2 linked regions of the Nothobranchius furzeri genome follow. The protein of the gene in region 2 purifies or fractionates together with the protein of the main gene of each other region. This does not show direct contact. Links are inferred from orthologs where the notes say so. Each region holds a gene or a part of one and is shown on either strand. Other genes may lie near its edges.

The links. The genes of interacting proteins can lie anywhere in the genome.
Region 1: the proteins of c17h9orf78 (region 2) and eftud2 purify together in Homo sapiens (affinity purification with mass spectrometry; 3 studies listed by BioGRID and IntAct, with this or other methods). This does not show direct contact. The link is inferred for Nothobranchius furzeri from reciprocal best matches to the Homo sapiens genes C9orf78 and EFTUD2.

Annotation. Positions count from the first base shown.
Region 1 is NC_091745.1:13,646,750-13,652,075, reverse strand, and holds the start of eftud2 (116 kDa U5 small nuclear ribonucleoprotein component), read left to right. Parts: upstream 1-1,872; 5' UTR 1,873-2,010; intron 2,011-2,409; 5' UTR 2,410-2,420; coding exon 2,421-2,525; intron 2,526-2,608; coding exon 2,609-2,774; intron 2,775-5,326. UniProt on the Homo sapiens protein: Required for pre-mRNA splicing as component of the spliceosome, including pre-catalytic, catalytic and post-catalytic spliceosomal complexes. Component of the U5 snRNP and the U4/U6-U5 tri-snRNP complex, a building block of the spliceosome.
Region 2 is NC_091757.1:40,165,603-40,171,060, forward strand, and holds c17h9orf78 (splicing factor C9orf78 homolog), read right to left. Parts: upstream 3,048-5,458; 5' UTR 2,949-3,047; coding exon 2,869-2,948; intron 2,713-2,868; coding exon 2,653-2,712; intron 2,514-2,652; coding exon 2,462-2,513; intron 2,375-2,461; coding exon 2,304-2,374; intron 2,186-2,303; coding exon 2,108-2,185; intron 1,293-2,107; coding exon 1,095-1,292; intron 1,020-1,094; coding exon 883-1,019; intron 809-882; coding exon 704-808; intron 600-703; coding exon 502-599; 3' UTR 163-501; downstream 1-162. Other genes in the region: NFU1 iron-sulfur cluster scaffold homolog, mitochondrial, read left to right, coding at 3,117-3,175, 3,768-3,868, 4,064-4,199. UniProt on the Homo sapiens protein: Plays a role in pre-mRNA splicing by promoting usage of the upstream 3'-splice site at alternative NAGNAG splice sites; these are sites featuring alternative acceptor motifs separated by only a few nucleotides. May also modulate exon inclusion events.

The DNA of each region.
Region 1 (5,326 bases), on a different chromosome or scaffold from region 2:
GGCGTTTCTAACGTCCTTCTGTGTTTTATTTAATTGTAAGCTTGCACTGAGACAGAACTGTGATGATCAAGTAAAACTTGAAAATCGGTGGCAGAAGGACCTCAAGTAAAAAAATAATCCCTGAAGAAGTTCAGAAAACAAATCAGCTGAACAAGACAGATGGAGGGTTTCTAGGAAACATGACCCCTTAGAATAAAACTCTGAAGATGTTTTAAAAGCGTTTGCACCGAATCTATGAAGATATGCTACTTGATTGTAATGATTTTAGCTCATAGAAAATTATTCGCTTATTGCTACAAGTTCTGTAGTCATTTTGTCCAAATTCTCAAATCATAGATGTTTAGTGCCACCTTGCAGTTATTTCTTGCAACAACACATTTGAAATGTTTGGCCTGGGCTCTGCGGTATCTTAGCTGTTCCCAGATCTGCACTTTTCTGGACTGAGATGTCTGATGTTTTTCCTGGGATCTGCCTAAGCTACTCCTCCAGTCTGGGGCTTACTTCCACAAGTGTTCCGATGACCACGGGCACCACCGATGTCTTCACTCTCCAGACTTTCTCAGGTTCTTCTTTGAGGCGCTGGCACTTCTCTAGTTTGTCGTGTTCCTTTTTCCTGATGTTGCATCACTTGGTATTGCCACAATAACCACAACGGCTGTCCTCTGTTGATTGTCCACCACCGCAATGTCTGGTTGGTTCTCCATCACCATTTTGTCAGTCTAGATCTGGAAGTCCCACAGGAGCTTGGCTCTTTTGCTCTCAACCACCTTAGGGGGTGTTACCCACTTTGACCTTGGGGCTTCCAGTCCATACTCTGCCCAGATGTGTCTGTACACAATTCCAGCCACTTGGTTGTGGCGTTCCATCTTTGTTTTCCCTGCCAGCATCTCACGCCCTGCAGTTATGTAGTGAATTGTCTCAGAAGCCTCTTTGCATAGCCTACACCTTGGGTCTTGCCTGGTGTGGTAGATCTTGGCCTTTGTTGCTCTGATGTTCAGGGCCTGTTCCTGTGCAGCCACGATGAGTGTCTGCTGTCCTTCAGACCAGCTCTTTCTAGTCGTAGGATTTCTTGATATCTGCCACTTCGGTTATCTGTCGGTGGTACATCCCATGTGTGTTTGTCCTCCCGCGATGGTATTTCTGGTGTCTCCTCCTCTTTTTGCCATTATCTGAGACATTCACTGGCCACATCATCCGTTGGGGCCTTATCCTTGATGTGCTTATGCATCATGGATGTTTCATCTTGTACACACACAAACACTTGTCTGTCTTCCTTTCATAGTGAAGACCCTCCATTGACTTCCATTCATTTTTGTGACTCCAGTATGCCTAACCCATACCCTAACCCTAACCAATACTGATCTATTCCTAACCCTAACCGTAACCTTAACTAAAACTTAATTCCGACCATACCTCTAAAACCAACTGGTAAGCTTCTAAAAAGGTGAGGACCAAAAAAATGTTGTCACTTTGAAAAATGTCCTCACATTGTAGGGAAAATGGTCCTCACTATGTAGTATGTACAAGAACACACACACACACACACACACACACACACACACACACACACACACACACACACACACACACACACACACATTTAATTTTTTACTTTGCTGTTTCACATCTTAGCCACTGGAGGGCAGAAACTACTCTGTTACAACTTTCAAGAACCAACGTCTTTATTTATTATTTGTTTTGTTTATTTATTTGCCAGGCTAAGATGAAAACTACTCGGGATTTTTATTTTGTTTTAAAGTTCTATTCAAAATAGCAATAACGAAGCCCGGGGATGAGCGTTTTATGGTCTTTAAGCTTGTTGCAGTGATTTGTTTGTTCAACAGGTGGAGACGGTGGAGACTGACGTTGAAATTAAACAGTAGAAGAAGAAAACCGGCAGTGACGTATTGTGCGCATGGAGCTTAATGAATGATTTTGTCTCCTTTCAAAACCAGCTTTTTATCGTTTTGGAACAAACATTTCATTTGCCAAATTTGCAGTAGATTACAAGTAAGTATATTTAGTTTATATTTAGTTACATATGAGTTACAGCTTTGTTCTGGAGTTTGATATTAGCTGAAGGATCAGTAACGTAGCTCCGACGTCACTGCGGTCCGTTTATTTTGTCGCTTGTTAGCCTGCTAGCATGCTAAAGTGTGGCTGGATTATGTGATCAAAACGAGATACCTCGGATTAAGCTCTTTGGATAGTTTGCTATAAGGTACATAAAACGTACAGAATGCAGTTGAAAAACGCCGCATTTGCATTATGAAGTATTGGCATTAGCTGCAATAACAGATGTCAGACTGTCTCTCACTTCTCCCCTGCTTCTCAGTTGTTATGTTAAAATAACCACAACGTGTATTACTCGTAAAAATCCGATCTCATCTCATCTAATCTGATCATCAGCCCTTTAGAAGATGGAGGCAGATTTGTATGACGAGTTTGGCAACTACATCGGTCCAGAGCTGGACTCTGACGATGATGACGATGAACTGGATGCAGAAGACAGAGATGTTGATGAGGTACTTTATACACTTGTACACACTTTGTAGTACTTGTATGTTTAGGGGTTTGTGCTCATCTGTCATGTACTCGCATTGGACAGGGAGATGATGATGATGATGATGATGAGCATGGAGATGCTGATGAGGATGTCCCCGGCATGGAGGTGGTCCTGCATGAGGACAAGAAGTACTACCCCACAGCAGAGGAGGTTTATGGCCCAGAAGTGGAAACTATTGTCCAGGAAGAAGACACGCAGCCTCTCACAGGTTAGTGACCTCCTTCCACATGCTGATTTACAGTCGTGTGCAGTTGGCTTGAATGTGAGGTACATTTATGTCAAATATTGGGAAAAATGTACATACTTTCCATCAATGTTATTTAAAAATGAACAATTTTAGCACATTTACATGTGAGGCAGCTCAATCTGAGCTGAGTGGGGTAGTTGAGATCCCACACCCACTACAGACCGACAGGCTGATTAAAGTTCATGCATGCCTGCTAGTGGGAGCCTGATTGGCACGGGTACAATCTGCCAGTGGCATCTTAGTGAATGCGTGTTTCACTATGGATGCAGTGGGTAAACATCTACGCTGACTGCTGTTCGGACCGGCCTTGAGAGCGAGATGACTGAGGAGGAGCTTCATGCCAGAGTATTCAAAAGCAACACTGCTCATGCCAACTTTTGTTTACTAGTGACGCCTAAAGCTGGATTTATACTTCTTCATCTATGTCGGTACGGAGACACGCAACGCCTTTATGCGTCAGTGCAAGGGTTCTCCGACAGGCTCACAGAGGGTGACGGAGACACGCCCAAAATTTTAAACATCCGTCGAAAGTGATGGAGACCGCCAGCTTGTGATTGGTCAGGACGTCACTTCCTGTAAATTTGTCAACAACTCCGTTAAAGAGTAAAAAGATATTTAACGGCAGACCCACTGGTTAAAAAGCTATGTAGGGAACAGGAAACAATATGTACAAGTAAATGAATACATATCTGATTTGATGGATATAGCTTGTGGAGTACCTCAAGGTTCAGTACTGGGACCAAAATTGTTTATTATGTACTTAAATGATATCTGCAGAGTATCACAAATTTTAAAGTTTGTAATATTTGCTGATGACTCAAATTTACTGTGTTCAGTTGTGGAATTGCCACAGGTCTTGGAGTTGATCACACAGGAATTAATGGTATTGAAAAAGTGGTTTGATATAAATAAATTATCATTGAATCTAGATAAAACCAGATTTATGTTATTTGGTCACCAAAAGAATTACATCAAAATTGACATTTGTGTGGATAATGTATATTTAGAAAGAGTTAATGAAATAAAATTTCTTGGTGTGATCATTGACCGTAAGCTCTGTTGGAAGCCACACATCACTTATGTTCAGGGGAGATTGGCACGGGTCGTTGCCATCCTGGGGAAAGCAAAGAAGATGTTGGATCAGAAAGCGTGGCACATATTATACTGAGCTTTACTTCTGCCATACATGAGTTACTGTGTAGAGGTCTGGGGAAACGCATACAAAAGCAACATACAGACGATAACTATAATACAGAAAAAGGCCATTAGAATAATAAATAATGTGGGGTACAGGGACCATACGAATGCACTCTTTGTCGAAATGCAAACTATTAAATTACAAGACTTGGTGAAGCTCAAAACAGCGCAAGTAATGCATAAAGTAAAATAAATTGCTTCCAAAAGAAATCTGTTTATTGTTCAAAGAAAGAGAAGGTGGGTATAACTTTCTTCTTTCTTCTTCTTTAGGTCTTAATTTCGGTTTATAGCATTAACATAAAATTTTTCTTTTCAAACCAAACAACAATATTAACAACTTGAATTTAAACCAAAAAAGGAATAGGCAGAAGCAATGCTTATTTTAGCCTACCCTATTTTCCACCTAAGATACATAACCAATATACATTTCTTTTATTTTCCCCAATATAAATAACCACAATGAAAATTCATTAATGTCTATACATACTTTTCATACCCTGTAAGTATGTGACACTTCACACCTGCTTTAAACTTTAGTAAGGAAGTACATTTCTTCAAATCATCATCTAACTCATTCCACAATTTCACACCAACAACGGAAACATCTTGATTTCACATTAGTTCTGGCTTTTACACATTCAAACATAAATACACCTCTGAGATTATAATGATCATCTCTTGGTTTGAAATAAACTTTTATGCAATTTGGGATATTATTATTAACTACTTTATGAAGAATCTCTAAGATTTTTACTTTAATAATATCTCCTAATTTTAGCGTTTTAGTTTGACTAAATAGATTATGGGTTGGTTCGAGGTATCCCGATTTATTAGCTATTCTAATCGCCTTTTTTTGTAATTTAAATACAGTCTCAACACACGTTTTACCTGCATTTCCCCAAACCTCTGCACACTAAGACAAATAAGGCATAACTAAAGAGGAATAAATCAAAAACAAGGCTTTTTTTATTTAGTACATCACTAGTTTTATTAAGTATAGCAATAGATTTAGACACTTGCTGTTTGATATATTCAATATGTGGTCTCCAACTGAGTTTACTATCAATAATCACACCTAAGAATTTAGTTTCATATACTTGTTCAATTGGGACTCCATTTAAATACAGCTTAGCACCGTCATTGTCCCTGTTCCCTGAAAATATCATAAATTTGGTTTTATTTTCATTTAGTGATAGCTTGTTGTAATCAAACCATTTTTTCATTGAACCCAATTCGTTTTCAACCTCTTGTAATACTTTACTCATATCTTTACCGATACAAGAGGGAACTTAAGAGGGAAACGGAATTTAAAAATA
Region 2 (5,458 bases):
TAAATTAGTAATGTTCCTCTTGGTTTGCATTAAAAAGTATTTAAAAAAAACGACATTTACATTAAATTTAGCTCAAAGCAGAATACTTACAGTTCTTTGTTTACATGTAAACCACTTAAATTAGCTACTTTTTATTTTTAAGATAAACATGGCAGCCAACAGTTCAGCTTTGGGTTTTTTATTGCTTAACGTCTCATTTTCAAGCAGCTGCTCTAGTTATTCCATCTCATTAGCTAAGTGCATCACTTTTAAACTTTAGTATGGTTCTTGTTTTAAAAAAACAAACCGAGATATATTTTTACACACTTAATAATTGAACAGCCAGCTCTAAAATACTGTAGACTTAGAGTGAAGCTAAAGCTGCTGACTTGTTTGAAAAACCAAACAGGAAATCACACAAATCTGGAGCTTCAACATTTTGGTCAACAAATGTTTTCAATAATAATTAGCAACGGCTCACATTTTCAGATGCCATTGTGTGGAGGAAACAGATGCAACTTTTTAATATCTTCGGTTCATCTTCTTAAACTTCTCGTAGTGGTAGTCATCCGTGGCCTTCTCGTTGTTTGGACGTTTGCGTGGGTTCGGTGGCGACGGAGCTACGGACAGACAAAAGAAACGAGTACAGGTTTTGGTTTCTGGAAAAAAGGAACCAAAAAGTGTTTTTGGTTTGTATCTGTGACTGTGTGGTCGTGTCTCGTACCCTCTGGGCCTGGCTTCTCTGTGTCGCCCACTCGCAGCGGTCTTGCTTTGGGCTCTTCTCTGTGTCTGTTGTGCCTTTGTGGTGCATTTGCATCCTCATGGTAGACTAAAAGAAAACAAAAGCATGATTAACAAACTTTTCTCCTCTAGCTGGAACGGATGCAGACAGCCTGAACTCACAGCGGTTATGTTGGACATAATTAACAGCAATATTCGTGGGAACAAACGACGTCCCGAGGTCTTTCTTCTTGTTCCTTTGCTCTGCCAGAAGTTTGGCTTTTGCCTCTTCTGTCTGGATAATGTTTTTAATCTTTGCACTGAGAATGAAACGACAGGGATTAATTTGAGTAAAATAAAAAGAGCTGAATTATTAAAGAATCTTCTGAATTTACTCAATGCCAAGGTCAACCTCCGGGATCCCACTCAGCATCTGATTGGACAACATCTCCTCTGTCTTCTTGGCAGAGTTCACTCGGATGTTCTCAGGAAGTTCGTACAGGTGGTCCTCTGCATTTTTCACCTTAATTTTCTGTTCCTCAGCCTCCACCAGGCCTTTCTTCTTTTTTAACTCTGTCTCAATATATTTCATCCTGTAAAGAAAAACACAATGGGAAATGTCCCACACGAACAACTGGATGGCAGCTACGTTAAGATTTTGAATACTAACTTGTAGATACTTAAATATTTAGTAACAAAGTTCATGTAATTCAAGAATTGAGATTGCTTTTCCAACTTTCTTTAGTAGAATAAAAAGCCTTTTCTTAAAATGCTGAATGAAGCCAGCCAGTAACATGCTAACAAAAGTTCCAACACCATTTCATCTCAGACAAAAGCAGTCTTTGTAGTTTGACTGATTTTACAGTCAACATTAACAGCTGGTTAATTCAGGGGTTGGTGCATAAATTGTTTTGTTGAGCAAAATTTGATTTCTGACAAATACTGACACTATTTTAGTTGTTTAAAGAGATGAAAACCCAGGTAAACACCAGTGTTATTTCTTGTCCAGGGCAGCCATTGTTGGACCAAACTTGTTTTTAATTTGTTTTCTTTGTGGAAATTCAACTTTATTATGTATGATGGAATATTTTTTGCCAGACGGAGGAAATCAACTGAACACCTTCCTTTTAGGGCTGGGCGATATGGCCTAGATGGGGCTGTCACATGTGTTAGGTTGAGTCACATTTTGGCTCAGGGTGGTACAGCTTCTTAAAGGGACATGAATGTTGACGACCTACACACACCTCTTAATTTTTTTATTATTGAATTTCTTGACATGAGAAAAATTATCTCAAAAGTCAGAAATTTCCGTTAGAGAGGAAAAAAACAGAGCACAATTTAAATAGAGGTTGGACAATGTTGAGTCTGAAGAGGAAATGATTATAATACAGTTTAAAGAAAAGCTCACATGTCTGCATCTTCATCCCTTCTGTTGGTCTCGGCGGAGAATGAAGTGCCCAGGCTGAGGTCGGTTTCATCTTCTGTCCTGTTAATGAATCATCCTGGATGAGTCAGTCATATCCGATTAACTGGATTTGGTTTAATTGTACAAAGCATTCAGGCAGGTATCTATGTTGCACCTGAGGGTGGAAAACTTGACTCACATGTCTCTATTCCTGTCTTTCACTTTCTTCATGTCTACAACTCCTCCCGTCTTCAGTTTGAAAGGATCATTCTGTCAGAAGTGATCAATAAAAAAGTAAACGTTCAACATGTTGCTATTCAACACACACACACATTTTTTTTTCCAAAGAAAACTTACATCAATTTCGACTTCTGGAGGCAGTTTCTCTCCCACCAATAAAGCTGTCACACTAGACAAAAAGTAAAAGGTGTAAGTTAATTCACATCCAAGCAGTTAAGTATTGACATTAAGCACAACTAATTGCTTCTGTGTGAAACGTGCTACATAATAAAGATGTCTTCCATTCTACATTCATATTAACATGTTACCTGACTCCGCTCTGTCGTTTCCTCAAACTCTGAAGTTCTTTAGCCTCTTCTACTTTTGATCTAAGAAAAAAAAATACAAAAGCACAAACATATTTAGGTAGGCAGCTTATTAAAATACAACTAACAACAATGGCGTTCTGTTACTTTAATTTTGGGTTAGCGGCTAGTTTGCTAACACAACATATATCTTAACAACTCGTTGTTCGAGTATTTTACCTGACTTCTTCTGTTGTTTCATCCTCCTCTTCATCATCCGACGAATCTTGTCTTCTTCTAAAATGCCTACCACAAGGCATATTTAGATAGTTTAACGTAAATATTTGAAGAAGCAGCGCCTTACTGCGCGTAAGCTTGACGCTGATAATTTCGGGGGGAAACTTTAACAGACGTACAAAAATATTCGTCACTTCCGGAAAAGTATAATCTACTTCCGTTCTTCTTGAAGGATCACAACCATAACAATCATGGCGGCTTATAAACACGTTAGCGGGTTGTTGGGGATTTCTGCTAGACTTTCACGACCGTAAGTGGATATTTTGCAGGATTTTACCTTCTATTGTGTTTAATTTTTTTTCTTTTACTTTTTGCAACATGTGAGTCATTTCTATGCGACTGTGTTTAAGCTTGTTGGTTTAGTGTGGAATGACGCAGACTAAACATTAGGTCTGGAAACGAGGAATGTTTCATTACGATGTTTTTTCCCATCAAAAATGCCCTTAAAGTAAAATTAACACTAAACAAACCTGCATAAATGTAATAAATTTTTATCTTGCATCCATCTTTTTGATCATTTTTATTTAGTAGGGGAAAAAATACAAATCACCAGAACAAATGTGCAGAACGCGTTTTTAAAGCGTGCTGAAACAACTCTGTCATCGCGCCATTGCCTTTTTATTAATGTTTTGCTTTCCTTAGTTATAGCATTTGTATTTGATTTGGTGTTCCTGTTCAGTGTAGGAGCTTGTTCGCACATCTTCTAAACAGGAGTTTACCCGTCTTATTATTGCCACATTTTAGTGACGGTAAAGAAATCGTCCCTACACACAACAGCATAATATTTTTTATAATAAAGAATGTTTTTTTTATATTACTGTTTATCTGTTCATTATTTTCAGTCTTGTTGGCAGTGGATGTCAGAGCAATGGATTCCACTGGCCCTCGCAAGCTACTGGAGTTTCAAACAGATGGCCACAAAACCCCTTCTGGACTGTTCCTGGTTTGTTTATTTGCTGCAACCTCTAGTGTGACTTTTTATTAAATAAGAGTGATTGTCTTTTATTGTCACGTTTTCCACAGTGATGTCAGATGCTTAGGTGTTGTGAGAAAATCGGGCATTCTGCACATGCAGAAAATGACCACAATTCTCTTGTAGCCCTTTTTAAAAATTTGCATTACATTTTTTATGTTACAGGAAGGTCCATGTTTGTGCAGACACAGGATACTCCAAATCCAAACAGTCTAAAGTTTTTGCCTGGGCGGACAGTTCTCGAAGAGGGAACCATGAATTTTGCAGGCCCTCGTGATGCTTACTGCTCACCTTTAGCCAGGTATTTCCTAATACAAGATTACTAATCTCATATTAACATATCAAGTTGTTTCCTTACTCTGAGCAAACTCTGTACCAGGGGGTACCTTGTTGTATGTTTGCCAATATATGCATATTGTATCCACTTAACTGAGAGAGGCTTGTCTAAATGGTGGAAGCAACATTTTTTACTGTCATCTTAAAAATGTAATAGTTTATATATATATACAGTTTATAAATAGGAAAAGGTAGTATTTAGCTTTTAGTACAAAGCAAAGGTTAACAGTATGAAAATAAAGTGCAACTATTATATATTCTTTGGTGCAAGACATATGAAACATCTTCTCTAAAAACATGAAATAAAAATATTTAGATCCCAAAATAAATACAAAATGAATAAACATACAATGTAAATAAGAGATAAACTATGTACACTGTAAACATGAGACCTGGCTATTTTTCTTGTTGCTGTTGATGCAGCAGAGGACAAAGGTTGTAGACTCGGGTCAGCTTTTATTTATTTTATTTTATTTTTTCACGATTAAAGACAGTGCATACTTCGGCTCAAATAGATGCATTGTGTGTTAATAAGCAGGGCATGCATTGCATAGGGCCACCAGGGGCCCGCAGAGGGCTGCTAACTTTGAACCAAGCCAAAACCACAACGTCTAGCACCAAAAATATACCAATACCTACTAAGTATTTTCGGACTGAAGAGGCACCAAGTTTTGAAACCAAGCTCTAATTAAGAGTCAGGTATTAGTTTTTCGGTACTTTGTTTTCTTATTTCTTTGAAATGGTGGATTTTTCCAAACTAACCCCAAATAATTGTTGGTACCACTTTACAATAAGGCACCCCTTATAAATGATTGGTAAATGTTAATAAATATGTTGAAATTAATTCATCTGTAACTCTTTATAAGTGTTTATCGTCATTGGGGGCAAGAAAGAGACAAAAATTGCTAAATGGTGAGCCAAATATAATCACTTGTATGTTTTGTCTACAGTTGCCATTTTAAACATTTCAAACTAAGTTGCTGCCTTGTTAGCTAAATGGGCATTTGTAAACATACTTTTAGCAAATATTATTATATTTTATAACTGTATTATGAAATATCCACAAATGTCAAAGGGAGCCCCAGTTTAAAGTGTAAAGTCTGTCACCATTGATTTGTAAGATAACAGCAGGACCGAGTCTCACTATTTATATATTTTGCATTCCTAAACATATGAACAAGCCATTTAAAATTAACTCAATCTATATGATACTACTTTAAGTCC